Linked DNA regions of Macaca mulatta. The protein of the gene in region 2 interacts with the protein of the main gene of each other region in a pairwise test. Links are inferred from orthologs where the notes say so. Each region holds a gene or a part of one and is shown on either strand. Other genes may lie near its edges.

Region 1 (10,872 bases), on a different chromosome or scaffold from region 2:
TCAGAAAAAGATAAATATATATTTTTAAAAGAAAAAATATATATACATACAAATTTGATATGCAAAAATTGATTGCTTATACCACAGAACTTCTGGGAAAAGAGTTGATTAATAAAAGGGATCCTTGCACAAAATCATAAAAGAAGCTATGTGTATGTGAGTATATTGAAGAAATATAATATACACATAAAACCCTAACTCATGATGCAATCGAGATTTAAATGTCATTATGACAAATGCCCCAAATTTACATAAAACCTCAAAAATTAATGGAATCCAAGCTACTAGTAGGTAGTCAATAATTCTTCTAATAATAGATGCCTTCTTTACTCATTGTTTGCTAAGATTTGGATTGAGCAGTATGGCAGGATTGACATGAAAATTAATGATTTTATCTATACCTTGATTAACATTTTATAATTTTATGAGTTCAGCTCTGAACAGAAGTAGGGATGATTTTCCACTATGGGAATCAAATTTAAATGGCAACAGTAAAACCAAACAAAATGGAACAATTTCTCTTTGTTTCTGGCTGACTCAATAGTGATTTGTCAAATTATTTATTTTAAAAATGTTATCTAAAGATATGCAGTATTTCTACAATGATCTGATAAAGACCCAGTACAGAGCATCCACTTTAAAAGAGCCTGACTTAGCTTTCAGAACCTGTCTTCTTTGCTTAGTCCCAAGTACGCTTTACATATTAACGATGTAAGGTCCATTTGTAACAAAGTCATTCACGTGAATCTGGGTATGCTAGATTCTAAATTTTTTAAAATCTATGTTAGAAAGAAGATTACCTACTATAAATAAACATGCAAACACAAATACATAAATAAAACTTTAGAACACAGAATCTAATTAGGTACTAGAGTAAAAAGTAAATTTTATGTTAACTTTATACAGTTCACTCAAAAGAAAAATGTGAGTCTGAGTTTTATTTGTCCCACTGCTGTTTCCAGTTCAAATAGTATTTCTCCAAAGTTAATGACATCTTAGCAATAGGATATCCTTCCTCAGAACAATGGATCAAAACATGAGGACCATCCTTGGAAAATCGTCATAACTAGTCTTCATACTGTTTTTCTTAAAGGTTCACCTCCAAGCCAAACTAATCCTCCTCTGAGAGTAAAGCCAAATCACAATTTATGACCGTACATATTACATGCTCTCCTTGGGCATGCCTGCTTTTTATAGCTAATATAAGAAGTGCAATTTCCATGAGGGAAGAAAAAAACCTAAGAGAATGTAATATACGCAATAATAAATGGATTAGTATTTTTTTTCAAATAGGCTGAATTTCTTTCCCAAAATAATGAGACAGTAATATATTCATATATGGTTTAGCAAAGCGCCTCAGGGCCTCATTTACTATCCATGAGGCAGATGCAGAAAAGTCTTGCATCTTGCTTTGCAGGAATGAGTCACTGAAAAGGTATGCAACACAACTAATACTCTCACCAAACTGGGTACACTGGATCACTTGGCAAAATACATTTCTGAATTCCACCCTATTAAAATAATAATTTTAAAAAAGGCAGGAGAGCTCAAACAAATAAATAAACTAGAACCAGGTTCATAACAATTTAAGTGAAAAGGTACTACTTATATCCTACATATATTAAGAGTCAGATTTCCTGGAACAAAGACTTTCACCAGCCTAATAAAGATAACATTTTCTCTCATGATGAGATTAGCCAAGGACCACACTGCTATTCAATGATCAAAGTATAATTCATTAAAATATTTTTTAAAAGAAAGAAAGAAAAGGACTTATCCATGGGATGGAAGAAAATATTTGCAAATTATACACCTGATAAGGATCTCATATTCAGAATACATAAAGAACTCCAAAAAGTCACCAATAGGAAGGCAATTTTAAAATAGGCAAAAGATTTGAGTAGATATTTCTCAAAAGAAAATATACAAATGGCCAACAAGCACATGAAAAAAAATTTCAATACCATTAGTCATTAGGGTAATGCAAATCAAAACCCCAATAAGATACTACTTCACACACCCAATAGGATATTTATTATTTTTTTAAACATGAAAAATAACAAGTGTTGGTGACAATGTGGAGCAATAAGAACCTTTATAGATTACTAGTGAGGCTGTACAATGATGGAGCTGCTTGGGAAAACACTTTGGCAGCTCCTCAAAAAGTTAAATATAAAGTTACCACAGGACCCAGCAATTCCACTCCTAGGTAGTTACCCAAGCAAGATAAATATACACACTCACACAAAAACCTGTTCACAAATGTTCACAGCAGCATTATTCATAACAGCCAAAGTACGAACACAACCCAAATGTCCATCAACTGATGAAAGGAAAAATAAAATATGGTATAGTCATACAATAAAATATTATTTGGCAATAAAAAGGAAAGAAATGCTACAACATGGATTAACCTTGAAAACATTATGCTAAGCGTAAGAGGGCGGTCACAAAAGACCACATAATACATGATTCCACGTATATGAAACATATAGAAGAGGAAAATCCATAGACAGAAAGTAGATTAGTGGTTGCCAGGAACTAGGAGGAGGGAAAAAGTGACTGTTAAAGGGTATGGGGTTTCTTTTTGGGGTGATGAAAATATTCTGAAATTAGATAATGGTGATGGTTGTAACAATGCTATGAATACGCCAAAACCCATTGAACTGTACACTTTAAAAGAGTGAATTTTATGATATGTGAATGGTATCTCAATAAAACTATTATTTAAAAAAGAGAAAAGTGAATAAACTGAAAAGCATGATCTTCAATCAGGAGAGAAATATTTTCAGTGAATATCTTCTTAATAACACCACGACTATGTCTTCACAAAAATCATAAACTGAAGGTCTTCTTTGGGAATCTTAAGGTTGAAACTAAAACTGGAAAAAAAGTTTGTAAAGCAACTTAATCCAAGGAAGTTTCAGGATAAAGGCACAGGTGCCTCAGGCTTCTAGGAAGCATTTCCCAAAATACACGACGTTTTTGAGAAGGGCTGAAATAAACTAAAACATGCCACAGATTTCTGCACATTTGTTTGTCCTTGTCCACGTTTCTATTCTAACCTACTAGATTTGAATCACGAAGGCAAAAGCATGAGACCCAACCCCTTTATATACTAATGGCCCAGATTAAATAAATATTGAATGTCAGAATTAAAGAACATTAGAACATTAGAATTACAGGTGCGGGGGCCTCGTACAATTATTTCACTCTCCTCTCAATCCATTCCAGTTAGGCTCACAGATTCCAGAAATCCAAGTTTCCGTATTCTTTTAAATTTTAAGAGAAAAGATCAAATACCTCTTTTAGAAATGTCTATTGCTTTTTAAAAAACTTATTAACTACCACACCAACTAAAATGAATAGCAATGTCAAGTTGGCTCAGTCAAATAAATAATAATGGAAAAGCATTAGGTCTATTGTCAAGATATGCCTTACTCAACATCATTTTGGCTTCAAACAACAACTAAACACCTTGCTACTGATAGAAAAACGTATTTTTAAAACTTTCAAAAATAACTTTACTATATAAAAATTCAGCTGACAAGTATCAACCTTAAATCTAACGCTACAATATCAACAGAACAATCTTACAGCTGTCCTCTCAGCCCTAAGGTATGCCAACTGGTTATGGCCTTAATTCTTATGAATTTCCTTTATAGTATCACCTGGACATAAGAGTCATTGTTTCTATCTTTCCATGACTAACAAAGGACTGAATTCTAGCAAACTGGAGTGAATGGTTTTAGAAGTGCTGACGGCGCAGAATTCTGGCGTGCGTGGATGAGGGACTCGCTGTCGCCTCATATGCCATACCTGGTATGCACTGTGCTGTGGCCTCAGTGGTTATGGCTGGAGCGACTGGGGGCTGCTGCTGACTGGAGCTCACTTCTGGCTCTGTGTTAACTGAGGGAGAAAGGGCTACCTCACAGGAGGAGACCTGGCTGGGCAGATGGGACAGGAACTCTTCAGAGGCAACTTGTTCATCCTGTCCAGGCAGCTGCAGGGCAGACAAGGGGATACTGATCTGTTTGTTAGGATGGGATGTGCTCACAGGCATTTGCATGGCCACCTGTTGGTTGGTGCCATGGGTACCAGGGGGGCCTCTGTTTGGTGAAGCCAGAGATACCCTAGCAGTCTTCTGGACAACTGGTCTGGAGATCACAGAGGGGGATGCAGACATACCGTGTGGGTCTAGCTCCGTGCTGATGGCGGATGTGACATGGGGAATCAGTTTAGCAGACCCTACACAGGAGGGACCAGCGTGAGTCTGAGGCTTGGGTTTTGCCATCTGTGTCAAGGATAGGGCTGGTCCATCCACTCCTCCTGTCAGTTCTGCATTTGCCACAATGTAATAATCTTCAGGGATTTCTTGTTTGATTTTCTTGATGATGACATCATTGCTGCATTCGTCAACCATCTGCGCCTGGGAGCTTGAATGGAGGGAAGATGGGACTACCCCAGGTCTTTTGCGAGCAACGCTTTGAGGCCTTTGGGTTTGGGGTTCAAAGTCACTATCCTCATCTGTAACAGAAGACTCACAAACCATGTCAAACAGGGTGTTCTCATCTTCATATTCTTCAACAGTTTCATCCAGTTCAGAGGGCTCACTACAATAGGAGAAGTCACAAGAGTCTCTGGTCCGGTTACAGTCTAGCTTTGCTTTCACTGGTCTCCCAGGGTACCTTTCAACAGGGCTAGTCTGTGTCTCAGAGGGCACCCCGATTATACTGGGACTATCAGAGTTAAAACTTCTGTTATCCTGGAAACAGACCCTCTCTTGGGACCCAGCTCTGCAAGTAGCTGTTAGCGGCCAGTGATAAGCATGGCCAGCACTACAGCCCCACATTGCTGTCAGGTTCCCATGGGAACCTTCAGAAAGCAAGTGTTTCAGGTTTGGAATGAGGCTGCAAATAGTCCCATGGCTGTGGGCCCAGCTGACCAATTTGGACAGATTCTCAGATGAGGTATGAAGACAATCCTCCATGTTACAGGATCAGCAGTGTCACTCCTAAAGGGAAATAATCAAAAGAAGAAGCCATTATTACCCAAGATATTCCTATAGCTCGATTACTTCAGTCTGTTCCAAATATGATCATTTGGCATAAAAAAGAAATGCACTTCAAAACCGAATTTAGTTAATGTCGCTGTAGATGAGCAGGGACTGGAAGAGAATATCAGGAAAAGTAAAAACAGCTGATGACTCATGGTTGTGGGATTTGGAGAAAAATTTTGTTAGTTTTCTTTATTGTTGTAATAATTCCTGCCTAAGGGGGGAAAAAGGAGAGAAGGAAAAAGAAACAAGTAATAAAGAAATGAGCTTTTCCATGGTACATTTTACTTCCAGAGTCACCGACAGAGAGGTTCAGATGGTCCCTCAATAATAAAATTGTGTCTATTACTTGCATTAACCAAGAGGATGCAGCTCCAATGACACCCTTTGATGTCAGAAACTTCGCTACTAGAGGCAGAGCCAACAAAGGAGGTTTGGATCCATCTTAGGATAGAGGTCAGAGAAAGGACGCCAGTTCTCTGCTGGGCACCAGACGACAATGCAACTAGGAGTCCAAGGAGAGGATCAGGAGCTCGATTTGAGAAATGGGAAAGAAAAGTATTCAGCAGAGGAGGGAGAACAGACCGGGAAAAGACCTGCTGGAGGGGCAGGCTGTAGACCGAAGCAGCAAGGATGGGGAAGCAGGAGGCCCTGCTCTAACCACTCTTAGGATCAGGCTTCCTGTCTCCTGGCTGCCTGCAATTCCTGAAATATTGCCTTTCATCCCACCATTAGAGGTTACAAAGTATGTCTGGTGTTTTCCACCATCTGAGGGTCCCATAAAGCCAAGCATAACCAACCATCAAATAGAAGCAAATCATTCCTTATTAGGCAGGAGACAAAAAGAAGCCCTTGTTAGGAGTCCCTGAAGAGTGAGGACAACATGATGGGTAGGAAAGTGAAAGGTGACATGTGGAGTCTGCAAGGGGCTAGAAAGGTTAGTAAGGCTTTGCCAAGAGGCGGGTCCTGGGAGCACTGGGCAGGGAGGCACAGGAATCTTTATGTGTGATTTTATTGGCCCTGGCTATCTGCAGATGTGGGTAACAAGAGGTGACTTGCTGGTGCTCTGCACTCAGGCACCACGGTCTAACCACAATGTCAGGTGGTTACACCAAAGTGGACAGACACCTGAGCCATTCCCTGACCTGACTCCATGGCACCCTGTCAGGGAGGTTAGGTAGGTTCAAATCCTTTAACATACTATTAAGGTCTCTGTTGATGTGGCCATGGCCACCTCTCAAGCCTCATTTCCTATGACCATGTCCTCTTCCCATACTTCTTGTGGTCCCCTCTTCTCTAAACTCCCTACTGGTGAGAAACTCATTCTTCTGCTTGATATGCTGCCCTTCTCTTTCCTCACCTGGCCAGCCCCTTCAAAACTGAACCTGAGGCTACCTCCTACTGGCATCTTTCCAGACCCCCTTTCTGCATCAGAGATTTATTTAGCTTCCCTTCACCCATGCCTGTATCATCTCAAGGGATTTGCCTTTGCTGTACTATTATCATTGATTTGCTTGTCTGTCTCTCAGACCTAATAATTTCCTGAAGGCAGAAACTATGACTTAATTATTCACTCAGTGAGGACCTACTTGGGGATATGGAAATTCATAAGGTTCTTGGGACATTATAACCTATTGTCTAGTATGCAGTTGTTGTCGAATAAACGAATGAAGAATGAATGAATGTTTACATACTGCCAGCACCATCAACACTTACAAAGTGAACGTATAAGACTCTCAAGTAAGACACATAAATTTTCCTCGTATCACTTTTATTGTAATCATTCAAGGGATTAGACGATTTTCTGCCAGATAGTGTAACCAAAACCCAGCCACCTTGTATATGCAGAAGAGTGACAGATGAGCACCCAGAGTTCATGAAGCAGCCAAGTAAACGGAAAGAACAGTGACTGGCATGGGAATCAGGAACGTGAAATCCCAAGCCTGGAACTGCTCCCTGTGGTCTCAGACAAGGCACTAATAATCTCTAAGCCTAAAATGCCAGGACTACATGATCTTACGTCTCCTTCATACTCTAGAAATTGACTTATTTATGTTTCTTTCATATAACTTTGGTTAAAGTAGAAATGTAAAAAAAAAAAAAAAAAAAAAAAAAGGACATAGACTGGTTTGTTCTGAACTTTTTTCTTTCTTTTTTTTTTTTTTGCAGGGACAGGGGTGTCCCTAGGTAGCCCAAGCTGGTCTTGAACTGGGCTCAAGCAATTCTCCTGTCTCAGCCTCCCAAAGCTCAGGGATTACAGGCATGAGTTACTGCACCCCAGTCTGTTTTGAACTTAACATAGCTATTAATATTTAACTGGTGTGGCAGAGACTGCTAATTTGCCTACCCAGTGTCTGTTCTCGCTTAGTCCTCACAGACAGTCCAAATTTGTTGAGGCAGCAGTGTGCTCACTTAAGTATTTTTCCCAGCTTCCCCTGGAGCAACGATGGCTCCATGACACAGTCATGGTCAAGGACACGTAAATGGAAGGGATTTGGATCATAATCCTGAAAGACAAAATTCTGAATGCCATAGTTCCAAATGTTGAAATCCCGAAAGATCAAAATCCCTAAAGTCTAACATCCCCAAAATCACAATCATACGATAGCTACATCATGTTAAGTAGAACTATTACCTTGTTATTGTCTTTATTTGGAAATTAAGTATGGTTTAAGGAAATACATTATGAGTGATAAACTGACATGGGGTGAACTTGTGGACTTAAATTTAGGTGTCAGTTTGACTGGATTAAGGAAGACTTAGAGACCTAGTAAAGCATTATTTGGGTGTGTGTCTGTAAGGGTGTTTCCAGGAGAGATTAGTGTGTGAGTCTGAGTGGATTATGTGAAGATCTCGCCTGAAAGTTGGCAGGCACCATCTAATCAGCTGGGGCCCCAGAGAGAACAAATACAGAAGGTGAATTGTTCTCTCTCTCAGAGCTAGCACAGGCTTCTCTTTCGCTGCCTTGGACATCAGAACTAGAGGCCTCCAGCCTTTGGACTCTGGGACTTATGCCAGCAGTTCCCAGGTCCCGGCCTTTCAGCCTCAGGCTGAGAGTCACATCATCAGCTTCCCTGGTTCTGAGGCCTTTGGATTTGGACTGAACCACTATACCAGCATCCCAGGGTCGCCAGCTAGCAGACAGCCTGTTGTAAGACTTTTCAGCTACATAATCACATGAGCCAGTTCCCCTAATAAATCCCCTCTCATGTATATATGCATATTCTATTAGTTCTGTCTCTCTGGAGAATCTTGACTAATACAGATTTGGTACTGGCAAAGCCAAGTATCATTCCTTCTTACTGAATTCCTTACAACACAACAGAAGAGACTACGAAATGTTCCCTTGCAAAAGGGCTGTGATAAGTTAAATATACAAGGTTACTAAATGGTGAAAGATAAAAGTTTAAATGCTAATCATTATTGGTGCTGCACAAGCAGAAAATTGCTTAACTGCAGCAGCCAAGCAATAAGCACTTTCAGATGGATAGTATATACTTACAAAATTTGTAGACCACAACCACTCTCCGAATACAAGTGCAGCAAGTGTTTCAAAGATCACAGAAGTGAAAACACAGGCCAAAAGTACAAGAAATCTCCTGGCCAAATTATTCAATAGTGTAAGACTTCTGCCCCTTCACGTATAGCACCATGCTTCCATTCAAAAAACACCCTTCAGCAGAGAATAAAAAGAATTCAACAAGCTCAGTGACCTTCTGAACCAAAGATACTTGTTGATACTGAGGTTCCTCAGTGTTAAACAAACAAACAAAAAACTTTAAACGGTGAACTATTCTTGACTAGTGATTTGACTGTCAAAGAATACAGGTTTCTTATATTTACCACTAAATCTAACATACAAGAACTAGTACATGCTTCACTTTAGCTAAGAAATTGCACTTTCAAAATTGTTCCCACTGTTTATCAGCTATATACAATTCATGTCCCTGTTAGATCTGAAAATTCTAGAACTTATCCACTCAATTATGTATTAATGACAAGAAAAAGTAAAGCACTTAATAAATGCTTATTTGGGCCAGGTGCAGTGGCTCACGCCTGCAATCCCAGCACTTTGAGGGGCCAAAGTGGGCGCATCACTTGAGGTCAGGAATTTGAGACCAGCCCGGCCAACAGCCAACGTGGTGAAACCTCGTTTCTACTAAAAATACAAAACAAAATTAGCCAGGCATGGAGGCGCACGACTGTGATCCCAGCTACTTGGGAGGCGGAGGTTGCAGTGAGCCAAGATCATGCCACTGTACACCAGCCTGGGCGACTAGAGCGAAACTTGTCTCAAAAAAAAAAAAAAAAAAAGAATTCTAAAAGTGAATTTCAAAGTGTTACCAATAGTTTGTGTTTCCCATTCAGCCTAATGCATTTGGCAGGAAATTCAGATGAGTGGATTGGCTACAATGATATGGCAACGATACAAACTTCAGTTAAAAGCTTCGTTTGCCTGCACTGGCATTCCTTTCAGCAGATGACATTCCAGAAGCTTTTAATGAATTAAAGCCATATTGCCTGAAGAAGCCAGCAAAGTACTGACTAGTTCAAAAATAATTATGTGCACAATAGGATAAAAAGACACTTAATGCAATGGTGTTGCTGTTCCATCACCAGTATTGCTTCCGCCAAATTTGTGGTCTGTGTATGGAGTACATGTAGAATGGATTTCCATCTACCCACAAAACAGAAGCATGGCACAGAAAACGGGGAAATTTAATAGGCAATGCTCATGTTGTTGTATATGGAATCATACAAGAATTTCAAAAAGAACAGTACCACATGTAGAAGGAACATGAACGTATTCTCCAATGACAGCCATGTCCTAAAAGAAAAAAAGCAGCTATTTGTCAAGATGCAAGACTTCAAAATATAGTTAATGATCATGAAAGTCGGCCAGTTCTTACAGACTACCTCCATGCAACTGCCATAATATATCCCTGTAACACACATTTTGATATGTCAATTTTTTTTTTTTTTTTAAGTTTTCCTACTCTTAAATCCGCAGCCCTATTTTTTTTTCTTTTTTTTTGAGACAGAGTCTTGCTCTGCTGCCCAGGCTGGAGTGCAGTGGTGAGATCACAGCTCACTGTAACCTCTGCCCCCCAGGCTCCAGTAACCCTTCCACCTCAGCCTCCCTAGTAGCTGGGACCACAGGTGCGCACCACCATGCCTGGCTAATTTTTGTATTAAATTTTTTGTTTGTAGAGATGGGGTTTTGCCATGTTGCCCAGGCTGGTCTTGAACTCCTGAGTTCAAGCGATCTACCTCAGCCTCCCAAAGTGCTGGGATTTCAGGCTTGAGCCACCATGCTGGGTCAAGCACTATTTCTCTTACAATGTGCTATGCTATGTATTTCATCTTATCATTTCCAAAACTGGAGGTAGAAACATTGGGAAGACTCACAGAGTTCTAATTTATTTTATGTACTTTTTGCAAATTTGACTCCAAAAAGGTACATTACCACAATGTTGACTTTGTGTATAAGCATCGTGCGTGTACATAAAAGCACCAAAATGTCCTTAATAAATGAAGAGATGTCCTTTCATACATCTGCATTTGTGAAAAATAAAATTTCTCAAGATCTTAGCTCTTCAGGTAACTGCATATGCAGTGGTGACCCATCACAGTTTTGATGGATCTCATCAAAAGACTTAGGTTGTCCGTCACAGTATTTCAGACGACCTCAGTTGTAAAAGCTATTCCTTCATGAACACGGTTCATCTGCTCATAACTGTTAGACCCATGCAACTGTCATTAGTATACCTGCGTGTTTCTGTTTATAAAAATTTGTATGCTAATACTGCCTATTT
Region 2 (10,851 bases):
GTAGCACTGTGTCCTTATAGTCAGGATACCCCTTGGGCAAGGAACTTGGTAACTGACAATGCTCAATGCTGAACATGCATCTAATTTTGAGGCTTTACTGGGTCTCATGAAGCAAGACTGATTTGAAAACAGCACTTATGGGATTGGACTGCATACATGCAGAGTAGGAATAACTTGGCCTGCAGCCAAAATGAGCTGGGCCACAAACAGACTTAAAAAAAAAACTAACTCATTTTTTAAAAGTCCTATTAAAAGGATATTCAAATGGAAGTGCAGGGAGACAAAATGCAACCCTCACTAGCAGGCAGTCTATTAGCAGAAGGCTGGTGTGTCAGTTTGGGACACATTCCACAAACCTCTGAGAAAATAAACTTCTCCCTCAGAATTTGGAGGCCTGAGCTATACACAGCACTGAGCAGGCTAGGATGCCTGAGGATCCTGAAGCACGGAGGCAGCTCTAATGCATCTATCCAGCTAAGCTGCACAGGCTTGCTGGATGCCCTGACAACTCGCAAGCAGCACTGCAGCTCCAAGCCTTGCTGCCTAAGTTGCTGGGAGGTGGCTGTAGAAAACACCTGAAGATGGCCTCCAGTCCCTAACACAAATGCACACCCTGTGGCATCAAGTATCACATGCATTCATCTGAGAAAGATGCTGCTCTGAGTAAAGAGGCACTGCCACCTTCCAAGCTCTGAGTCTGGCGAGGAAAAAAATGGGTAAAGCCAGTGGTAGATTCAAGCTATGGAGCGAATCTCAGGTGAAGTGGGACCCTGAAGTACTGTGTGAAAATGAACTTAAACTGCCCCTAAAGCCCTCTCCCCAACCCCTCCACTGAAGGACATAGATCCAGGCAAAACCATTTCTCCAGTGGAGAAACTGTGCAATAAAAAAGGGAAAGTTACAGCAGGATCCACATCAGGAATGGCCATGTGACTCTAGACAGACATCAGTTTATGCTACTCAACAGCTCTATGCATTGGGAAAGGCTGACCTAGAACTGTGTGGATGCCCAATCCCTACAGAACCTACGTTCACCCCAACCAAGGGCAGGTCATGGAGGCTGTGGGGTCTACATTGACTCATGAATTGGCTGGGCTGATGAGCACACCTGGGCACCCATCTGCTTTGGAGCCCATGTGCTTCCACTGGACCTTGGATTATCTCTTCTCCAGCAGGGCAGGATAGGTGGTAGGAGGTGGAAGGGCAATGACCACTGCTGTCAATCCTGGAGAGGCACTTGCTTCACAGTCAAAGTTAATAAGGCCCTGATGCTCCCCAAGATTCCAAAATATAAAGATTAACCACTGGTTGTTGTTCCTTTTTTTGTTTTGATTTTGAGACAGAGTTTCAGTCATGTCGCCCACGCTTGTAATCCCAGCACTTTGGGAGGCCAAGGTCAGCAGATCACCTGAGGTCAGGAGTTAGAGACCAGCCTGGTCAATATGGTGAGACCCCATATTGTATTTAGTAGAGACCCCGTCTCTACTAAAAATACAAAAAAACTTAGCCAGGCGTGGTGGTGGTCGCCTGTAATCCCAGCTACTCAGGGGCTGAGGCAGGAGAATCGCTTGAAGCTGGGAGGCGGAGGTTCCAGTAAGCCGAGATCGTGCCACTGCACTCTAGCCTGGGCGACATGAGTGAAACTCCGTTTCAAAAAAAAAAAAAAAAAAAATGTCCTGTCCTTAAGTATTTACCCAGAAATGATCCAAGTGCTTTAAGCACATTTCTAAATAAAGGATGAATAAGTGTGGGGTGAAGTCATTAATTGGGATCTGAAGAGTCAGGACTTGGATTTCTTGTTACTCTGTCCTAAAACCCTGACTTGGGTTACTGGTATAAGCTGCTTTAGGGTGGATTCTCAGCAGATTGGAAAGGCAAATGGGACTTGGAGAGAAAATGGCTTTGAAGCAGTCTCCGTTGCCCTGATAATCACTTTTCATTTCCAAGACATCACAGCTTCCTTTTACTGAAGATCTCTTTAAGATCCAGAAGCAAATAAACACCATATTCTTAAACAGCACAGGTTTCCCAATGTCAAATTATAGTATCTGGCCAGGTGTGGTGGGTAACACCCATAATTCCAGCACTCTGGGAGGCCAAGGCAGGAGGATCACCTGTAGCCAGGAGTTTGAGACCAGCCTGGTGAGGTGGGAGGAGTGCTCAAGCCCAGGAGTTCAAGGCTGCAGTGAGCTAAGACTGTGTCACTGCACTCCAGCCAGGGTGACAGAGCAAGACCTCGTCTCAACAACAACAAAAAATAGTATCTTAGAGATATTTTATTTAATGATATACTCCTGTTTCTATTTTAAACAGGGGATTAACAAGACTCTTATCTATGTTCTAAATAAACAAAGACCAAAGACCATTGACTGCCAGGTCTGAGTTCCCCTCTAAGGCCATGAGTAGGAAACCTGTACACTGATGTTTTTTCTGAAGTTGTGTCTGAACAAAGGCATGGTTCCCCTTCCGTTTTTGGCCTGATTCTTGATGCAGGCACCTAAGCAGAGAGTTCAACTTTCCAACGCTAAATGGGAAAAGGCCATTGTGATTCCCTTTTCTTTAAATGAAACAAGAACTTGAATTTAGGAAGTAAAACTTAGGGACTTGCCTCTGTCTCTATTTATAGAATCAATATTTAATACTAACTACTCTAAATAAAAATCATGACACTTTACATGGTGACCGCCTGTTTTTCACTCCAAGGCAGAAATAACTGAGAACTTATTCTCCTGCAGCCTCAGACATAATTGATCTTCATGCAGACCAGTCAGTCATCGGAGAGGGAGGGCTCCTGCAGGCTTGAATTCATCCCTTCTCTAATTTCCCCAGCCACTCTTTGAAGCCAGCAAGCACTGCATGAAGGTTAAGAGAGGCTCCATGCTTCCCTAAGGAGGCTGAAAAGACCTGAGGAAGAGGCTGCAAATTGTCTTGGGAAGAGATGGTGAAGCTGAATCATAGCCAGCTTTAGGAAGGACCCTGTGGCACTTTTTGTTTATGTTTATGGCTGATTTACATTTGCATAAAGCCCAATGATGTCACAAGCCTCTTTTGTTTAGAAACAAATTTATATTTTTAGCCCGGTGTGGTGGCACGCACCTGTGGTCCCATCCCAGTTATTAGGGAGTCTGAGGTGGGAGGATCACTTGATCCTAGGAGGCAGAGATTGCAGTGAGCTGAGATTGCACCACTACACTCCAACCTGGGCAACAGAGTGAGACTCTGTCTCAAAAAAAAAAAAATTTTTCTGAGAATAAAGCCCCAAAATGAACAGTTGCATTAAATGTAGGGTGACAGTCATTAACTAGGGCCAAAAGAACTGACAGCCTGGGCAAAAGGGTCCTAGTTGGTGACTAAATCCTGAAGGGTCTTGGATTTCTGGTTACTCGGCCCTAAAATCCTGACTTGAGTTACTAGTGTAATCTGCTTTAGGGTTGATTCTCACCACACTGGAAAGGAAAACGGGACTTGGAGAGAAAATGGGTTGAAGCAGTCTCTGCTGCCCTGAAAAATCATTTTTCATTTCCAATTCTATTTCTATCTCAGGGATAATGGGGGAGGGGAAGTTGATAAGACCTGTAGCCATTTTAATTGCCAGATTACTGTGGAGCCATCTGAGTAATCTGAAGGTCTCCAGAAACCTGCTTCATTTCCTTTGAGAAGAACCAGAGAATCAGAATTGAGGAAAATAAACTCAATGCCATAGGTCCTAGTCACTTACTTTCTCCCACTGAGCCACCACCTCCGGGAAGTAGGAAACACAGGGTCACCAAGACTCTGCAGAAGTTGCAGATGTTATGAAAGAAGATTACCTCCCCAAACACCTTAAGGAAAGCCCAGGGTAACCACGGATGCCCAAGGCTTCCTCCCCAGGTGAAGACACAGCCCAGAGGCCTGGGAAGGAAGGTTGGAAGAGCCCTATGGGTGACAAGATCACCTCAAGCAACACCACAGCTTCCAGAGCTACAGCTGTGGCAGACCAGTGGTGTCCAGTGGGCAGGCCCTGGGCTGTCTCCTCAGGTTGAACGCTGGCCTTAGGGAGGGAGCTTCCATTTCTCCCCTGCCTTTCTATCAGACACCAGGAAGTGGAGGTGGAGGACACTGGGAAAGAGGAAATCAGACCAAAAAATAGCCAGAGCTTTCCACCTTTAACAGAAGTAAGTAACTGGAATTTGGCAGAGGCCTCTTCTGGAGACTTCAAGGATTTTCAACAGGAACCTATGTGGGCAACATTGGGCTAGTTTCCAGGGCTTCTGAAAGCCTTCACTTTTAGAAGTATTACTTCTGGGGGTGGTATATGAAACCTACATTGGGTCACTAAGATAAGATGTGGCCAGGAACTCACACTCAGGGGAGAGGTGGGGGCCAGAATCTGGATCAGGGCCTAAAACTACCCACTCAGTAATGGGAAAGGACTGACTAGGATGTCAGACGGAGCCCCTCCATTTTCCTCTTTCCACAGGGGACTAAAGCTGGGCTATCAAATACACAGAAAAGGGGAATTCTAATGCCTCTGCCTACATTCAGGCCACAAGTTACAGTCCCAAAGATTGCTTCCAGGCAGCACAATAGTCTGACAGTCAAAGCAGGTGCTACCAAGGGAGGTATGAGTCTATAAAAAGACTTCAGAGCCCTTTACTGTGCAGCAGTCATTTTGTCAGACTTGAGGATCAGGCAACTATAGACACTTACAATGTCAAAGAGTTGACCAAGTTTGGAAGCAAGCAAACTGGATGATTAACTGAGTGAGCCTCAGCAGGGCCCACAGGCTCCCAGTGGAGGAGCGTGCCAGGACTGCCTTCGGGAAAGAAAACCTCATTTCAGGCCTCAGTTCTACCTATAGCTTAAGCCTAAATAAGTTCTCAACTGTTTTAAAAGATTCTTGGAGATGTTAGGCTGAGTTTCATCATTTTTTTTAAAGTCCAGGCCTTGTTCTATTTTGTGAATCCAAAATGCACTCTTATGTATTGCAGCCATTATTTTCCTGGAGCCCCTGATGTCAGGGAGCACAAAATACAGATTTCTAGTCAGGACCCCTAAGAGTTTTCAGACTTCCAAAGGTTTGGAGTTTCATAAGCAGCCAACCAGATGTCTAATACCAGAGGGCCCATCTAGTAAACACCTCTCACCTGGACTGTGGGACTGTCTTATCCACAAACAGGAAGATCGCCTTTTCAGAAGGAAGCTGGATCCTTTTCCTGATGATCCACATGAACTGAGCCACAGTGATATCAGATGGAACCAAGTACTTCCGTTTGTCAATGTCAACAATCTGAGAGCCTGAGACCTTTTCCACAATCACCTGGGAAAGTAAAGAGAGGTCAGGACTGCGTTTCCTAAAGGGAGGCTCTGGCCTCACATGGCTGAGGAGCTGACGAACAGAGTGTGGGCAAGGAGGTGGGTGGGAAACTGCATAGCAGGAGAAAATATGTCTTTGGCTTAATAAACCACACGCTCTGGAGGTTAAGAATTGATATAAATGTGTTATAGGGAAACGGTAAGTGCTTTTCTGTGGTCAATTATGTAAGAGAAATGCAGCCCTTACTACTAAGCTTTTCCACATTTTATCTGGGCAGACCTAAGAGTATCTGGGGAGGATTTCATCCATGGTCCGTTACTCTAGGACCCCAGAATGGATCCACCTTCACACTACAAGAAACACTACTGTGTTCCCAAGGAACACAGGAGACAAGAACGGATGGACTAATGGGAATGCCTGGAATTTCAGCCAGTCAAGAACCAAGCTCTTCATTTGGCCTGTTGCTCCTCTCTGAACAAGTTTCAAATCCGTCCCTCCTACTCCTTTCCTGAGACGAATTATTCACAAGCAAAGAGCTACAATAACAGGCCTTAATGTCCATTAAAAATTAATAAGGATTACAAAACTGTCTCCCCAACCATGAAAGAAATATAACATCATATTTATTATTGACTAAGAAGAAAACATGGCAGAAGGGTTTTCAGCGCTTTTCACATTATTTTGGTCAGGCAAGGATGACAGGGTCAAGGTGAGGTAACGGAGCTAGAAGTTAGGTAAAGATGGAGGCTCAAAGTAAAAGATGAACGTCCTGAGACTCAAGTACCACTTCCAAGACCAAAGTGACAGTCTCGCTCCACCACCATTCCCAAAAGTGGCAGTGACCTGTTGCCCTGTCCTAGAACATCGTTCCTTACATAATTGGCCAGGGAGCCCCGAGGCTGCAGACGGCTCGCTGGCCTAGATCGGGAGATTCAGCACTGAGGCACCCTGAACAGCACCAGCCCGAGCCCCTCACACCCCGGCCCTGGAACGCCTCATCCCGGTCTGGCCTGTCAGTTACTATTAACTGGGACTGGAATCTCAACTTGTCAACTGTTGAATGGCCTGGGGCCTATTACGGGTCCCAGACGACAGAGGTGACAGCGAGGTGAGGGGGCGGAGAGTCCAAACACTCACCGGAACCCTGTCGGGATATTTCGCTCGAATCTTCGCGGACTCCACGCATCTGTGTTCTGTGGGAGAAACAAACAGGGCTGACGGCTGCGCCTGCCCCCCGGTCGGTTTCCGGCCCCCGGCCCTCCTCCTCCTGCGCCCTGCGCACAGCCCAGGCCCTGGTTCCGGCGTCCCTGCGGCCGCGGTCCTGTCCCCTACTGCTCCCAGCAGGGCCCGCGGAGGGTGACACGGGGTCAGGAGGCGGCTGCCCCAGGCACCAGGGCCTGGGCGACTCGAGACCGGAGCAGGGCATCCGCCCCACTCCACCCGAACCAGGGCCGCCACAGTGGGGGAGGGGGCCCACCCGCCGCCCCGGCCACCAGCAGCCCGGCCGACGGCCAAGTGCTTACCCAGCGAGTGGTCCTCCTTGAACATCCACTTCATGGCGGCGGCGGGAAAGGGACGGAACCGGCTCTCGGAGCCGCGGAGCTCAGCGCACCGACCACAACAACAACGACGGCAGCAGCGGTAGCGACGGCGGCGACTACACGGCAGGCGGGACTTCCGGCTGTCGGAGCCTAGCAACCGGTCGGGGGCGGGGCTTCCGGCGCTATTTGCCAGGACGCCGCGCCAAGGGGCCGGGCCGCAAGTAAAGGGGCGGGGCAGCGGATGGCCCCCTCGGAGGATCCTAGGCTACGGAGGTGATGAAGTTGGTTACGGGGACATCTGTGAGCAGCATCTGCGACCCCAGGAAGGAATGTTCGGGGAACTGGTGACAGGAGTGGGGTCTCGGGAGCGTTGGTGGCGGGAAACGTCTGGCTGATAGTGTAGGGCTCTTACTGAGGGCTGTTTGGGGGTGTGGCTGATAGTTGAGAGCGCTTAGAGCGGTTCATAGGGAAAGTCTGAATGGGGAATTGGTGACAAGAACGGTCTTTAGGGGTAAGAATGACATGAGGGGTTTCTAGTGCTTGGCGATAACAAAGGAGCTGTTTAGGGCGTTGAAAGTTGGGGAGTATTGCTCGGAGGGGTGACAGATTGGGGGCTCAGTATGGTAGGGGTGGTGTTTGAGGACACTGTAGGAGGTGGCACTGAGGACAACCCGGAGGTACAGTATTAGGGACAGCTGTAATAGGTTGCCTTGGACCTAGAAATTGAATTTAAACAAATCCCATTTTCTTGCTTTATTCGTGAATAAATATTTGAATAAACATTTACGAAAAGGTATCACAAATGCACATTTGAGGCGGGGCGCGGTAGCTCACGCCTGTAATCCCAACACTTTGGGAGGCCGACGCGGGTGGATCACCTGAGGTCAGGAATTGGAGACCAACCTGGCCAACGTAGTGAAACCCCAAAAATTAGCCAGGCATGGTGGCGGGCGCCTGTAGTCCCAGCTCCTCGGGAGGCTGAGGCAGGAGAATCATTTGAACCACAGAGGTGGAGGTTGCAGTGAGCCAAGATCACACCACTGCACTCCAGCCTGGGCAACAGAGCAAGACTCTGCCTCAAAAAAAAAAAAATGCACATTTGAGGAGTGTAACATCACTGATCACAGACCCCTTAATCTTAGCTGGCAGAGGAGTTAGAGGTGACTGTCAGATTCGGAGAATTCCCCTGAGAGCTGGTCATGAGATGGTTTTCCTCGTTTGGCTGTGGAAGTGGTTTAGCAATCACAGCCTGAGCTATGTGTGTGTCACCTGCCCGGACATATGCTTTGAGATTCTCCAGTCAGTGACGTAATGCCTTTTTTCCAAGCAGAGTCATCAAGGCAGTCTGGTGTGGGTCACCATCTGTTTATAAGCTGCTGAACATGTAGCAAGAATGTTCACTTAATTGGACACATGAACTCTGCCACGTGCTTGTGATTCTGATGCACCTGTAAAGCCTGTATGTTTGAACATGGTAGTTCATCATTTCCTACACTGGAAATTCCTGATTGATGCTGTGGAATCTAGCTTCATTCTAAAAGTATTTTTGTTATTTTAAAACTGTGTGTCTGAGCAACTAGAACAGTTTTTTTGTTTGCTTCTTTGTTTTTGTTTTTGTTTTTTGAGACAGAGTCTTGCTCTGTCACCCAGGCTGGAGTTCAGTGGCACAATCTCAGCTCACTACAGTCTGCCTCCTGGGTTCAAGCGATTCTCCTGCCTCAGCCTCCCGAGTAACTGGGACTACAGGGACTCACCACCACACCCAGCTAATTTTTGTATTTTTGGTAGAGATGGGGTTTTGCCCTGTTGGCCAGGCTGGTCTTGAACTTCTCACCTCAAGAAAGTGATTTGCCCGCTTTGGCCTCCCAAAGTGCTAGGATTACAGGTGTGAGCCACTGCGTTTGTTTGTTCGTTTGTAATGAAGTGAAAAAAGCCTTTGAATTTCCTACTTAGAAATTACTGTTGTTACATACAAAAGCTCTGTGCTAGGTGCTGGGGAAAAACAGTGAAGAAGACAGATGACACCCCTGTTCTTATGGGTGGGAGCATGAGATATTCTTGTCCCCCTGACATATTCTAGTGGGACAAGACAAAAAATAAATATGTTAGGTAATGATAGGTGCTGTTTAGAAAAATAAAGCAGAGTAGGTGACTAAAGTGTGGGATGGAATGCTAATTAGATAAAGTGGCTGGCATGTTCTAGGGAACCCCTGTGGCTGGAGCTGAATAAATGAGAGAGGAGAGTGTGTTATGAGACAAATTCAAAGAGCTCTAGAACAAAACTGTGTTGAGCTTTGAATTCCATGCAAAGAGCTTTGGGTTTTATTCAGAATGAGATGAGAAGTCAGTGTAGGGGTTTAAGCGGAGATGTAACACAATCTGCCTTTCCTTTTCAAAAGGCTAGCTTAGTAGACTGTAGGCGCTGAGGGTGGAAGCAGGGAAATAGTCGAGAGACTATTGTGATAATCCTAGTGAAAGATGATATTGGCTTAGGCCAAGGTGGGGTCTAGGGAGGTGATGGGAAGCAGTTGTATTCTGAATATATTTTGAAGGTAAAAATGGTAACATTTGCTGATAGATTGGATGTAAGATATGAGGGACAGATCAAAATCAAGGTTTTTGGAAGGATGGAATTGCCATTTACTGAAATAGGATGGAGCCAGCTTGGGGAGTGAAAAACAAGAGTTTGGTTTTAGAGATATTAAATATGAGATGTCCAGGAGACACACCCAAGTGAAGATGTAGAGTTGGTGAATGGTGCTATGAGTCTCAAATTTAGAAATATTTCAAGCTATTAAACTGGGTAAGAGTAGGTAGACAGTGAGTTTAAAAATGAAAATACCTGGGTGGGCACAATGGCACATGCCTGTAATCCCGGCACTTTGGGAGACCAAGGCAGGTGGATCACCTGAAATCAGGAGTTCATGACCAGCCTGACTAACGTGGTGAAATCCCATCTCTGCTAAATACAAAACAGTTAGCCAGGTGTGGCGGCACATGCCTGTAATCCCAGCTACTTGGGAGGCTGAGACAGGAGAATTGCTTGTACTTGGGAGGCAGAGGTTGCAGTGAGTTGAGATCACACCATTGCACTCCAGCTTGGGCAACAAGAGTGAAACTGTGTCTCAAAAAAAAGAAAATACCTATTTTGCAAATAGAATTAAACACTGAAGAATGAAGATGGTTGCTCACCATCTCCTAGTCAGTGAACCAGTGGAGGAGTTAGAAATTGGACTCAACACCCCTGCTTCCCTTTACAGAGCTGGTCATTGTGTCCTAGTCCAAGATATATGTATATTGTCTTGCATGTGAAAGAGCTAAAAACACTTCTTAGGGGAATATTTCACTGCACACCAATTCATAGACATGTCTCCTGATGGTCTCGATGATGTGCAATGCACTTTGGTCTTCCATCCTTACCTACTTTCTTAGTGTCTTTTCCCGGTTCACCATTCTAATTGACTTATTTCATCCACCTTGATGATATGTACCACCTTCTTTACACATTGGGTCATTGTATTTAGCTATGTAATGTTCTAAGGACACTGGATGCCTTCCTTGAGGGGGTGGTTAGTTGAGGAGGTTCAAGTCAGGAGAAGAAATAGGATAATGAATATATGCAATGTAATTACAGATTAACAAATCTATAAAACACAGAGAATGAATTTCAAATGTTGGAGAGGTATGTGAACATGGACACTGAGGCATTGCTAGGGCAATAGGGGCCAGCACAAAGCCAAGTGAGAATTAACAAGAAAGATTTCACAGAGAATGTGAATCTTCTGATGTAGAGAGAGGGGTACATTTTTCAATGAGTAAACGTTTCCTTTCCAGATAAAAACAAAGACTGGGGTTGGAAGAGGGAACAGAAAATCAGTGTAGATAAGTAAATAAAATGTTGGAAAGCTTTCAAGCAAACATTCAGAAGTTTTAACCTAATTCAAGAGACCCTGAATAGGAGCTCCTATAAATGAGAGAGAAACATGATTAAAATGTGCAATTTGGAGCCGGGTG
Region 3 (10,872 bases), on a different chromosome or scaffold from region 2:
GATCAAGTGGGCTTCATCCCTGGGATGCAAGGCTGGTTCAACATACACAAATCAATAAACGTAATCCAGCATATAAACAGAACCAAAGACAAAGACCACATGATTATCTCCATAGATGCAGAAAAGGCCTTTGACAAAATTCAACAGCCCTTCCTGCTAAAAACTCTCAATAAATTTGGTATTGATGGAATGTATATCAAAATAATAAGAGCTATTTATGAAAACCCACAGCCAATATCATACTGAATGGGCAAAAACTGGAAGCATTCCCTTTGAAATCTGGCACAAGACAGTGATGCCCTCTCTCACCACTCCTATTCAACTTAGTGTTGGAAGTTCTGGCTGGGGCAATCAGGCAAGAGAAAGAAATAAACGGTATTCAGTTAGGAAAAGAAGAAGTCAAATTGTCCCTGTTTGCAGATGATATGATTGTATATTTAGAAAACCCCATCGTCTCAGCCCAAAATCTCTTTAAGCTGATAAGCAACTTTGGCAAAGTCTCAGGATACAAAATCAATGTGCAAAAATCACAAGCATTCTTATACACCAATAACAGACAAACAGAGAGCCAAATCATGAATGAACTCCCATTCGCAATTGCTTCAAAGAGAGTAAAATACCTAGGAATCCAACTTACAAGGGATGTGAAGGTCCTCTTCAAGGAGAATTAGAAGCCACTGCTCAGTGAAATAAACGAGGACATAAACAAATGGAAGAACATACCATGCTCATAGATAGGAAGAATCAATATCGTGAAAATGGCTATACTGCCCCAGGTAATTTATAGATTCAATGCCATCCCCATTAAGCTAACAATGACTTTCTTCATAGAATTGGAAAAAACTACTTTAAAGTTCATATGGAACCAAAAAGGAGCCCACATTGCCAAGACAATCCTAAGCCAAAAGATCAAAGCTGGAGGCATCATGCTACTTGACTTCAAACTATACTACTAAGCTACAGTAACCAAAACAGCATGGTACTGGTACCAAAACAGAAATATAGACCAATGGAACAAAACAGAGCCCACAGAAATAATACCACACATCTACAGCCATCTGATCTTTGACAAACCTGACAAAAACAAGAAATGGGGAAAAGATTCTCTATTTAATAAATGGTGCTGGGAAAATTGGCTAGCCATAAGTAGAAAGCTGAAACTGGACCCTTTCCTTACTCCTTATACGAAAATTAATTCAAGATGGATTAGAGACTTAAATGTTAGACCTAAAACCATAAAAACCCTAGAAGAAAACCTAGGTAATACCATTCAGGACATAGGCATGGGCAAGGACTTCATGTCTAAAACACCAAAAGCAACAACAACAAAAGCCAAAATTGATTAATGGGATCTAATTGAGCTGAAGCACTTCTGCACAGCAAAGGAAACTACCATCAGAGTCAACAGGCAACCTACAGAATGGGAGAAAATTTTTGCAATCTACTCATCAGACAAAGGGCTAATATCCAGAACCTACAAAGAACTCAAACAAATTTACAAGAAAAAAACAGACAACCCCATCAAAACGTGGGCAAAGGATATGAACAGACACTTCTCAAAAGAAGACATTTATACAGCCAACAGACACATGAAAAAATGCTCATCATCACTCACCATCAGAGAAACGCAAATCAAAACCACAATGAGATACCATCTCACACCAGTTAGAATGGCAATCAGTAAAAAGTCAGAAAACAACAGGTGCTGGAGAGGATGTGGAGAAATAGGAACACTTTTACACTGTTGGTGGGACTGTAAACTAGTTCAACCATTGTGGAAGACAGTGTGGCGATTCCTCAAGGATCTAGAACTAGAAATACCATTTGACCCAGCCATCCCATTACTGGGTATATACCCAAAGGATTATAAATCATGCTACTATAAAGACACATGCACGTGTATGTTTATTGCAGCACTATTCACAATAGCAAACACTTGGAATCAACCCAAATGTCCATCAGTGACAGACTGGATTAAGAAAATGTGGCACATATACACCATGGAATACTATGCGGCCATAAAAAAGGATGAGTTCGTGTCCTTTGTAGGGACATGGATGCAGCTGGAAACCATCATTCTCAGCAAACTATCGCAAGAACAGAAAACCAAACACCACATGTTCTCACTCATAGGTGGGAACTGAACAATGAGATCACTTGGACATAGGAAGGGGAACATCACACATTGGGGCCTATTGTGGGGAGGGTAGAGGGGGAAGGGATAGCATTAGGAGATATACCTAATGTAAATGACGAGTTAATGGGTGCAGTACACCAACATGGCACATGTACATGTACCCTAGAACTTAAAGTATAATAAAAAAAAATAAATAAATGAAAATAACTCTAAAAACTTAAAAAAAAAAGTCAGGAAACAACAGATGCTGGAGAGGATGTGGAGAAATAGGAACACTTTTACACTGTTGGTGGGAGTGTAAAGTAGTTCATCCATTGTGGAAGACAGTGTGGTGATTCCCCAAGGATCTAGAACTAGAAATACCATTTGACCCAGCAATCCCATTACCAGGTATATACCCTAAGGATTATAAATCATTGTACTATAAAGACATATGTACACGTATATTTATCTTGGCATTGTTCACAATAGCAAAGACTTGGAACCAACTGAAATGCCCATCGATGATAGACTGGATAAAGAAAATGTGGCACATATACACCATGGAATACTATGCAGCCATGAAAAAGGATGAGCTCATGTCCTTTGCTGGGACATGGATGATTCTGGAAACCATCATTCTCAGCAAATTAACACAAGAACAGAAACTCCAACACTGCATGTTCTCACTCATAAGTGGGAGTTGAACAATGAGAACACATGGAACACGGAGGGGAACATCACATACCAGGGCCTGCTGTGGGGTGGGGGGCTGGAGGAGGGATAGCATTAGGAGCAATACCTAATGTAGATGATGGGTTGGTGGGTGCAGCAAACCACCACGGCATGTGTATACCTTTGTAACAAACCTGTACACTCTGCACATGTACCCCAGAACTTAAAGTATAATAATAAAAAAAGAAACAAGATCGTGACAGAGATTGTGAATTACATTCTTTGTAAATATGCTATGTTTAAGACATTAGGATACAGAGGACCTCCCTCAACAAAACAACAGAATACATTATTTGGCTTGCAGGAAGTGAGGGATAACACCATGTGGGAAATTTTTTTTAAATAACCAAATAAATAAGTAAGTAAATAAGTAAGTAAATAAATAAATAAATAAATAAATCTTAAACTGAAATGGCAGTAAAGCCATAAACTCAAAGGGAAGACTGGTTGCCCCAGGAGCAAATGAAGCTCTCAGCCATACTCTCTGGAGCCTAAATTTGGAATCAGTTGTAAAGTGAGTTGTAGATTGAGGAATTTCTGGATTAAGCCAGAAATCTGAAAATGGGGTTGAAGTGGTCTCAGTTTAGTAGTGCCAGCACCCCCTTGTCAGTTCCTGATAAAAATATACACAAATCCTCTTTGGAGTAAAGCCACCTTGATTTCAATCCCAAGGATTTCCATACTTAAGTTCACAATCAAAGACTGTGAATGTAATTCCAGAAAAGAAATCACCAAAAGTGAGAGTCAGCGAAAAAGAAAAACAAAAAATAAAAAACAACCCAAAAGAACCAACATCAGATTCATATGCTGTATCAATCAGGTTAGGCCAGATTACCTTGCAGTAACAAACACTTCCCAAGTCTCATGACTGACTGAACACTGAGCTGAATGATCCCTGGCTTGCTCAGTCAACCACAGGTCTGGCAACTCTCCAGGGTCAGCTTGCAGAAGATGGAAATGATTAAAATTCAAAATAGATGGTTAATTTCAATTATGGGTGGAGTAATAACATTCTAAATACTTTCCAAATACTTAGGCAATGGAATGGTAAAGATCAACACATGACTTTTAAGAATTAATCATGTTAGGCCAGGCGCGGTGGCTCATGCCCATAATCCCAACACTTTGGGAGGCCAAGGTGGGCAGATCACTTGAGGTCAGGAGTTCAAGACCAGCCTGGCCAACATGGCAACACCCTGTCTGTACTAAAAATACAAAATATTAGCTGGGCATGCGGACACCTCTAATTCCAGCTACTCGGGAGGCTGAGGCATGAGAATCACTTGAACCTGGGAGGATGAGGTTGCAGTGAACTGATATCACACCACTGCACTCCAACCTGGGTGACAGAATAAGACTCTGTCTCAAAAAAAATTAATTATGTCAGGGTATTTACAGAATAATTTAAGTAGAACATTAGAAGATATATATATATATAAAATATCACACACACACACACATACTATGTAACAATTTTAGTAAATACACCATGACTATCAACCAGAACAGAACAAAAGAAAATTAGAACTATTATGGTAGATTGAGTGGATTTTTTTAAGGGAATCTTAACATTTTAAAATCATGTGGTAACAATATCATCACCTATGCTCCTATGTTCTCAATTTCTTCCTTCAATGGCTTCCCTTTAGCCACAGTGATCAGACCTGTCAGTAAAGTCCTAGAAAACATGTTTTTGAGGATGCTGAGGTTTTTTCTCCCTTAGCCTCTGTTTAAAATATTGTTCTTCTCCCATAACAAGTGCTCTCTTTAACCCTACATAACAAGTGCTCTCTTTAACCCTACATTTTAGACATTATTTTGTATTTTCCCTCTTCTTATAGTGCAGATCTTCTAGAAGCTGTAACAATTGTCATTGCCAATGATTCATGCCTTACAGGTAATGAGTATCAGACCTTGTCCTGAGAGAAACTATTAAAGGAAGGAGAGGCTGGGGAAGAAAGGAGACAATGACCATTTGCTCCAATACTGAGGCATAGAAGTTCCCTGGGGAGGGGGTGGGGTTTAGAAAAGAGAGATCAGGAGAAAGTCACTCTTCCTGACACAGGTCTTTCTGAGGCATCTGCTTTTTTTTTAAGCTCTGAGTTCTAGTTATCCTGGCTCAGGATAAAAATAATCCCACCACTAGTATCCTCCCTTTTTCTACTTCCGAGGCTGCAAAGTGCAACAGTAGGCTCCCTGACTCAGGAGGGCGGGTGTTCCTGCCCACTTCCTGTTCCTCCATCTCCAGCAGACACTGCTGTTTCAAGGCAGGTCTCCAGCCCAGCTCTTCGATCACGTTTTGCTGAAAATATAAGCAAACATCGGCCTTGTCCTCCATGTTGTTCATACACCATGGAAGCTTTCCTCTGCCTCCTCCGTGAGAGTGTGTGGCTGAGAGACAAGAAACGTGGCCCTTTCTCTTCCCTGTTAGCTGGTGCAGAGGTAAGTCTGAGTAATTGTGTGTGTCATATTTGGATGTGTATGTGTGGGTGTTTGTGTTGTATATGTGTGTTTACATGTTTGTATGTGTTAACATGAATGTGAGTGGTATTTGTGTGTGTGATGTTTGTGTTGTATGTGTATGTGAGTGTTGTTTGCATATGTGTGTGTTGTGTATGTATATTTGTGTTTGTGTGTGTATGTGTTTGTGTGTTCATCTGCATGTGTGTGAGTGGTACATGTGTTTTGTGTGTGTGTGTTGTGTATTTTTGTGTGCTGTGGTGTGTGCAGGTTTGTGATGTGATAAAAAGAGCTGTGACCAACAAGTCTGGAGAACTTTTTGCCCTGTGACAAAGTCACTGTTTAATATTTGGCAAGATGCTTCTCTGAGTTTTGCTTTCTTCCAGAGCAACATGACAAGGATGGTACTATCTGTTCCATCTTCTGTGTTGGAGACAACACACACTGTGGCCAATATGGGAGGCGCCATTCCAGGCAGGGTCCAGGAGGAGGCAGGGAGGCACCTTGGGTGCAGACCCGTTCCCCCAAAACCCTGCGAGGGCACACTGCAGGTTCCTGCATGCCACAGCCTAGTCCCACCCGGCTGTTGTTTCCTGTTAAGCTGCCTGCCTGTTCTCTCTAAAGGAGGAATGAGATTACATTGGTAAAGTGCTGCCTCAGTTTCCACCAGGGATGTAAGGAAGTCAGGAACAAAGAGATTGAGAGACCACCAGTTAGGAAGAACTGAACTCCCTTTGGTAGGTGAAATATTGGACTCTTTCCAGAATCTGGCTGTTCAAGTTTGAGTAAGGCTGTCCGCCTGGTCTGCTTTTTCTCTCTTGCTAGAAAGTCACCAGACCTTCCTGGACTCCCTCCATCCCCAGCCCAGCACTGCAAAATTGATGTCTACCAATCATAAAGCAATATCCACATATACACTCCTGGGATCTGGGGAGGACTGGAGTGTTTGCCAGGTGAGCAGAGTAGAACAAAAATACAACAATGTGGCAATGAGAAAAACCTGTCTATCAGGTTCCCCTGGACTTAGGTTTCCCCACACCCCAGACCCTTCATCTGGATCTGTTTCATCTGGTTATGAATGTCCTACATGATCTGGAAAAACAGTCATGGACCATGCAACTTCCTCCTCAGTCGCACAGAGAAAATCTGCAGAGAGAACCTTATGGGATCTTGACATACAGAACTGTGTTAGTCCATGAAGCCAGGACACATTGCTGTCATGGGAAGGGGGACAGGAGTTCCTGGTTGGGAATGATGTGGCCCTAATTTGCAAAGAGGACTAAGAATTGCTCTAAAAAATGTTATGAAGTATGTTGGGACCTTAATTGGGGAAGAGACATTCACAGGCATCTGGTTCAGGTCCAACATTCATACTGATGGGATGCTGAGGCCTAGGTAGACCTAACTGGTGGTTGCATCTCCCCTGAAGTCTCTGGCTTCCTTCCCAGCTCAGCCCCTGCAATCCCAGTTCTCTGCAATCCTCACTGCACAGTCTTCTCCAAAGTCTGGCCCCAAGACCCTTCCAACAACATCCTACTCATTCACGTCCTCCAGGCACACTAGACTTCCTACTGCTCCCAGGGCACACAGGATCAGAATCACACCTGCTTCTGTGCTTCCCTTCCTCCTCCTCCTCCTCCTCCTCTTCCTCCTCTCCTTCCCCCACCTTCTCCCCACTGCCTCCCCCTCCACCTCCCCCCACCTCCCAGAACAGTTCCAGACCCTGTGTCTATCCAAATATCATCCATTCTTCAGGTCCCAGGCCAGTTGCACCTTTATCTGTAAAATCTCTTAAACTTATGGAGACCACAGTGGAGGGGGCGGGGGATAGGGTCCCTAAAGAAATAGGGTCCCTAAAGACAGCAGAGAGTGTCTTAGACCCCTTCTTCCATTGCCTCACTCAGTCCCACCCCAACCCTAAACTAATGCAAAAAACTTTCCCCTGGCAAGAGAAAGGCGAAAGGCAGGTAGCTGTTGAAACTCATTTGGAAAGTCAGTAGAACATATGATTTTTTTTTATGTAGATGGAGGAAGATGAATGTGAACACATGCCCCAGGAGAATCCCCGAGAAGAGCTGTCCCAGGATCCTGTGCCAGAGCTGTCAGGAGGTAAAGCGAATGAGGAGAGAGGAGCGGGTGGGAAACATTTGGGGTGCAGGTGGGACACAGCTCCGCCACCATGATGTGCTTGGAGAGACAGCTGGTGTCCCCTGGTCGCAGAAATTTACCCACCTCAGTCACCATCAGAGGTCTTTGAGGTAGGGCCCTTCTTATCACTAGCCAAAATAAGAAAAAAGACCCCTGGGTAGGTATGGTAGATAAAAGGAGGCAAAAAATAGCACCAATGACTAACTCACCATGCCAGTCCCAAAGGAAAGGCTTTCACATGGTGGATGTTCTTCCTCAGGAAGGATGTGCTGACAGTGGGTGTGACAAAAATAAGTGGCCTTGGACCAAGACCCTGTGTGGGTGTTTGACTGACTCCAAAGTGGAGCTGTCACGGTTGTAAGGTTGAAAGCGCCTTGTGAACAAGCAGAATGTACTTGGCTGCTGCCTCACATCTGGGCTCTGCCTTATCGAGGGCGTCCCTTTCCCTAAAGCCATTGCACAGGGTCAGGCGCTTAACTTTCAGGCAGGATTTAGAAAAGCTGGAAACCCAGCCCTTTCCTGGCCAGAATACATTATTTGTGATTCATTATGTATTTTAATATGAATGACCTTTTACTTTATGAACTTAAATGGCCTGAGCCATCTGGAAAAAGCCATGTTAACCTACTACAATAGGTTACCAATTACCAATACCTGTGCTAACACCGGTTTGACCTTTTGTTACAGCAATCAAAGTTAGCTATTCCCTTAAGAATCCTCTCCAGATCTCAAGTGATGCATTTGGCTTTAGTAAAGTCCAGTGGTGTGTGCTAGCTCCAGGCTTCTCAGATGGGGGTTCCTGTCTCCTCTGGCTCTGCACTGGGCTAGGTGGGTGGGGAAGAACATCTACTGCCCAGACTCCTGCCCATTCACTCGAATTCCTTTCCAACCACCTCGGGGAAGCTGGAGGGGGGCCAGTGTCACTCAGTTAGAATTGGTGTGTGGGTCAGAGCCAAGGGTGGCTGGCAGGCCACAGCAAGGCCTGTTGGTACCCAGGAGGTGACTGCCCCCATGCTGCCACATGCCAGCTTCATGCTCTGTCATCTGAGATACATCAATGTCTTCAGTGGAGACAAGACTGGGAAACCGGCTATTACTTGTCACTTCTTTATGTGCTCTGGGTCTTGGGACCTGCAAGACCAGGAGAAGGGAATTTCCTTCCTGCCTTCTTCCCCAGTCATATCTAAAAACCCTGGTATTGGGTGTCTTGGTGTTCTATTGGCCAAGTCTCGCTTTTCTCTCTAGGCTCCACTCTTTCACTGGGAGAGAATGTTCAGCCCCACCTTCAAGAATGTGGACCCAGAATGGTGGCCCAGCGCTGGTTTCAGGGCAGATGTTGGTCTTTGACAATCTGCCCCTGCAGTCTGGGGGTACACCAGGGGCTTCTGGTGAGAACAAGATGGGGTACATGGGCCCTAACCCCAGTTCCTTCTGCTTTCTTTGGATACTTCTAGGTCTAAGGGAGAAAGAACAGAAGACCCGAAGGAGACTGAGGCTCATTCTTGTGGGGAAAACAGGAAGTGGGAAAAGTGCAACAGGAAACAGCATCCTTGGCAGGGACGTCTTTGAGTCTAAACTCAGCACCAGACCCGTGACCAAGACCTCCCAGAGAGGGAGCCGAGAGTGGTCTGGGAAGGAACTTGAGGTGATTGACACACCTGACATTTTGTCCTCCCAGGTCCTGCCGGAGGCGGCAGCCGCTATCCGCCAAGCCATCATCTTATCCTCCCCAGGGCCCCACGCTGTGCTTCTGGTGACACAGCTGGGCCGGTTCACAGATGAGGATCAGCAGGTGGTCAGACGCCTGCAGGAGGTCTTTGGAGTGGGGGTTCTGGGTCACACCATCCTGGTGTTCACCCGGAAGGAAGACCTGGCCGGCGGCTCCCTGGAAGACTATGTGCGAGAGACCGACAACCAGGCCCTTGCCCAGCTGGATGTGACCGTTGCACGGCGCCATTGCAGCTTCAACAACAGGGCTCAGGGGGAGGAGCAGGAGGCCCAACTGCAAGAGCTTATGGAGAATGTCAAAGCCATCTTGTGGGAAAACGAAGGCAACTATTACAGCAACAAGGCTTACCAATATACCCAGCAAAACTTGTCACTCAAAGAACTACAGGAAAGGAAAGTAACACAGGATCAGGGCTCTGAGGACGTGCCTGGTGAAGAGTCATGGATGGAAGGACTGTCCCAGATCCAGAAGGAATCTGAGGAAGCCCACAGACGCCTGTTGGGGAGGGCTGACCTTTGAGCCTGTGCTGGACTTGAGCCAAGGACACCATCAGCCCTTGCACACCTGTGTCCAGTCCTCTGTTTCTCTTTCCATCCCATGGAGTGCTTCCCAGTCTCCAGGTCATGATGTCTGGTGTAGGAAGAGAGGCATGGGGCTGGAGGACGGGGTCTAGTGTGCCCAGATCACATCCCAGTTTCTTCATTCCTTCTTCTAGAACATCTGGGTCCTCCCTCCTCTGTGCTCCAACAGCATGCTGTCTTCCTATTGGACCTTCTATCTCACTGGCATTGCCTTTCATGGTTTACTTGCCTATACTCTGATAGAACCAAAGTTTCTTGAGGGCAGGCCTGTATCTTTTACTTCTGTGTAACTTCCACAGCTTTTGACTGCACTGGAGTCATGCAGTCACACTTGGTGCAGCAGCTCTGTGCGAGCTGTTGACCAGATGACGTCTCATCTCTCCCCACACCATGATGGTTTAAGGTGCCTGTTGTGTCTGGTGGCTGGAACATGGCAGTGGTGCTGAGACATGGGGAGGGTTGGAGACTGGGCTGAGAGGAGAGCAAGGAGGAACAGGGATGGAGGCAGGAGGAGCAGCCCTTTTGTTCACTCTTGAACTGTAACAAACAAGCCCCGTTGGAACTTCCTAGTGGGAATGATGGGAGAAGTCGGGGGCAAGGTATCCAAGAAGCTAGGCTGTGGTCAAGAAGGTGGTTCCTTGTCGTGGCTACAGAACATGGAAGCCCCTAGAGATGCAAGTGGACTTGGGCAGAGGAGGTCACACCACCCCATGAAGGTAGACTTATATTAGAGACGACTTGCATCTGTTACTTCCCCTTTTCCCCTGGGTTTCATGGCCACTCATGATATTTGCCTTCACCTCCTAGAAGGCACAGACTACTTTCAACCTGCTGCACCCTTCACTGCCACCCCTCCCTTCTCCCTTGATAATGGGAGCATGTGGATGGGGTGAGTGTCTGCATGTGCAAACGGGTTCCCTAGCAAGGTATTTGTGGGGGTCGAATGCAAGGAGGCAGGCAAGAAAGGGGACCTGCAAAGGAAGCAGTGGAGTGACTTAAACATCTTGCAAGGCAGCCTACCTGGTCTATGGGAGAACTCTGAAGTCCATGATGTTTTCCTGGAAGGCTGTTGTTACAGTTGGGGCTTATAAGAAGTGATACTG

What was found.
Region 1: the proteins of GABARAPL2 (region 2) and KIAA1958 interact in binary tests that used the Homo sapiens proteins (3 or more experiments, as listed by UniProt). The two-hybrid records come from large-scale screens. The link is inferred for Macaca mulatta from reciprocal best matches to the Homo sapiens genes GABARAPL2 and KIAA1958.
Region 3: the proteins of GABARAPL2 (region 2) and GIMAP6 interact in a two-hybrid assay, tested with the Homo sapiens proteins (2 studies listed by BioGRID). The two-hybrid records come from large-scale screens. The link is inferred for Macaca mulatta from reciprocal best matches to the Homo sapiens genes GABARAPL2 and GIMAP6.

The regions. Positions count from the first base shown.
Region 1 is NC_133420.1:45,738,872-45,749,743, forward strand, and holds the start of KIAA1958 (uncharacterized protein KIAA1958 homolog), read right to left. Parts: upstream 5,022-10,872; 5' UTR 4,991-5,021; coding exon 3,820-4,990; intron 1-3,819.
Region 2 is NC_133425.1:70,916,446-70,927,296, reverse strand, and holds the start of GABARAPL2 (gamma-aminobutyric acid receptor-associated protein-like 2), read right to left. Parts: upstream 6,978-10,851; 5' UTR 6,854-6,977; coding exon 6,820-6,853; intron 6,490-6,819; coding exon 6,434-6,489; coding exon of another isoform or gene 6,376-6,433; intron 5,325-6,375; coding exon of another isoform or gene 5,300-5,324; coding exon 5,127-5,299; intron 1-5,126. UniProt on the Homo sapiens protein: Ubiquitin-like modifier involved in intra-Golgi traffic. Modulates intra-Golgi transport through coupling between NSF activity and SNAREs activation. It first stimulates the ATPase activity of NSF which in turn stimulates the association with GOSR1.
Region 3 is NC_133408.1:190,049,365-190,060,236, reverse strand, and holds the start of GIMAP6 (GTPase IMAP family member 6), read left to right. Parts: upstream 1-5,091; 5' UTR 5,092-5,203; coding exon 5,204-5,293; intron 5,294-6,136; exon of another isoform or gene 6,137-6,192; coding exon of another isoform or gene 6,193-6,264; intron 6,265-7,335; coding exon 7,336-7,420; intron 7,421-8,913; coding exon 8,914-9,707; 3' UTR 9,708-10,872.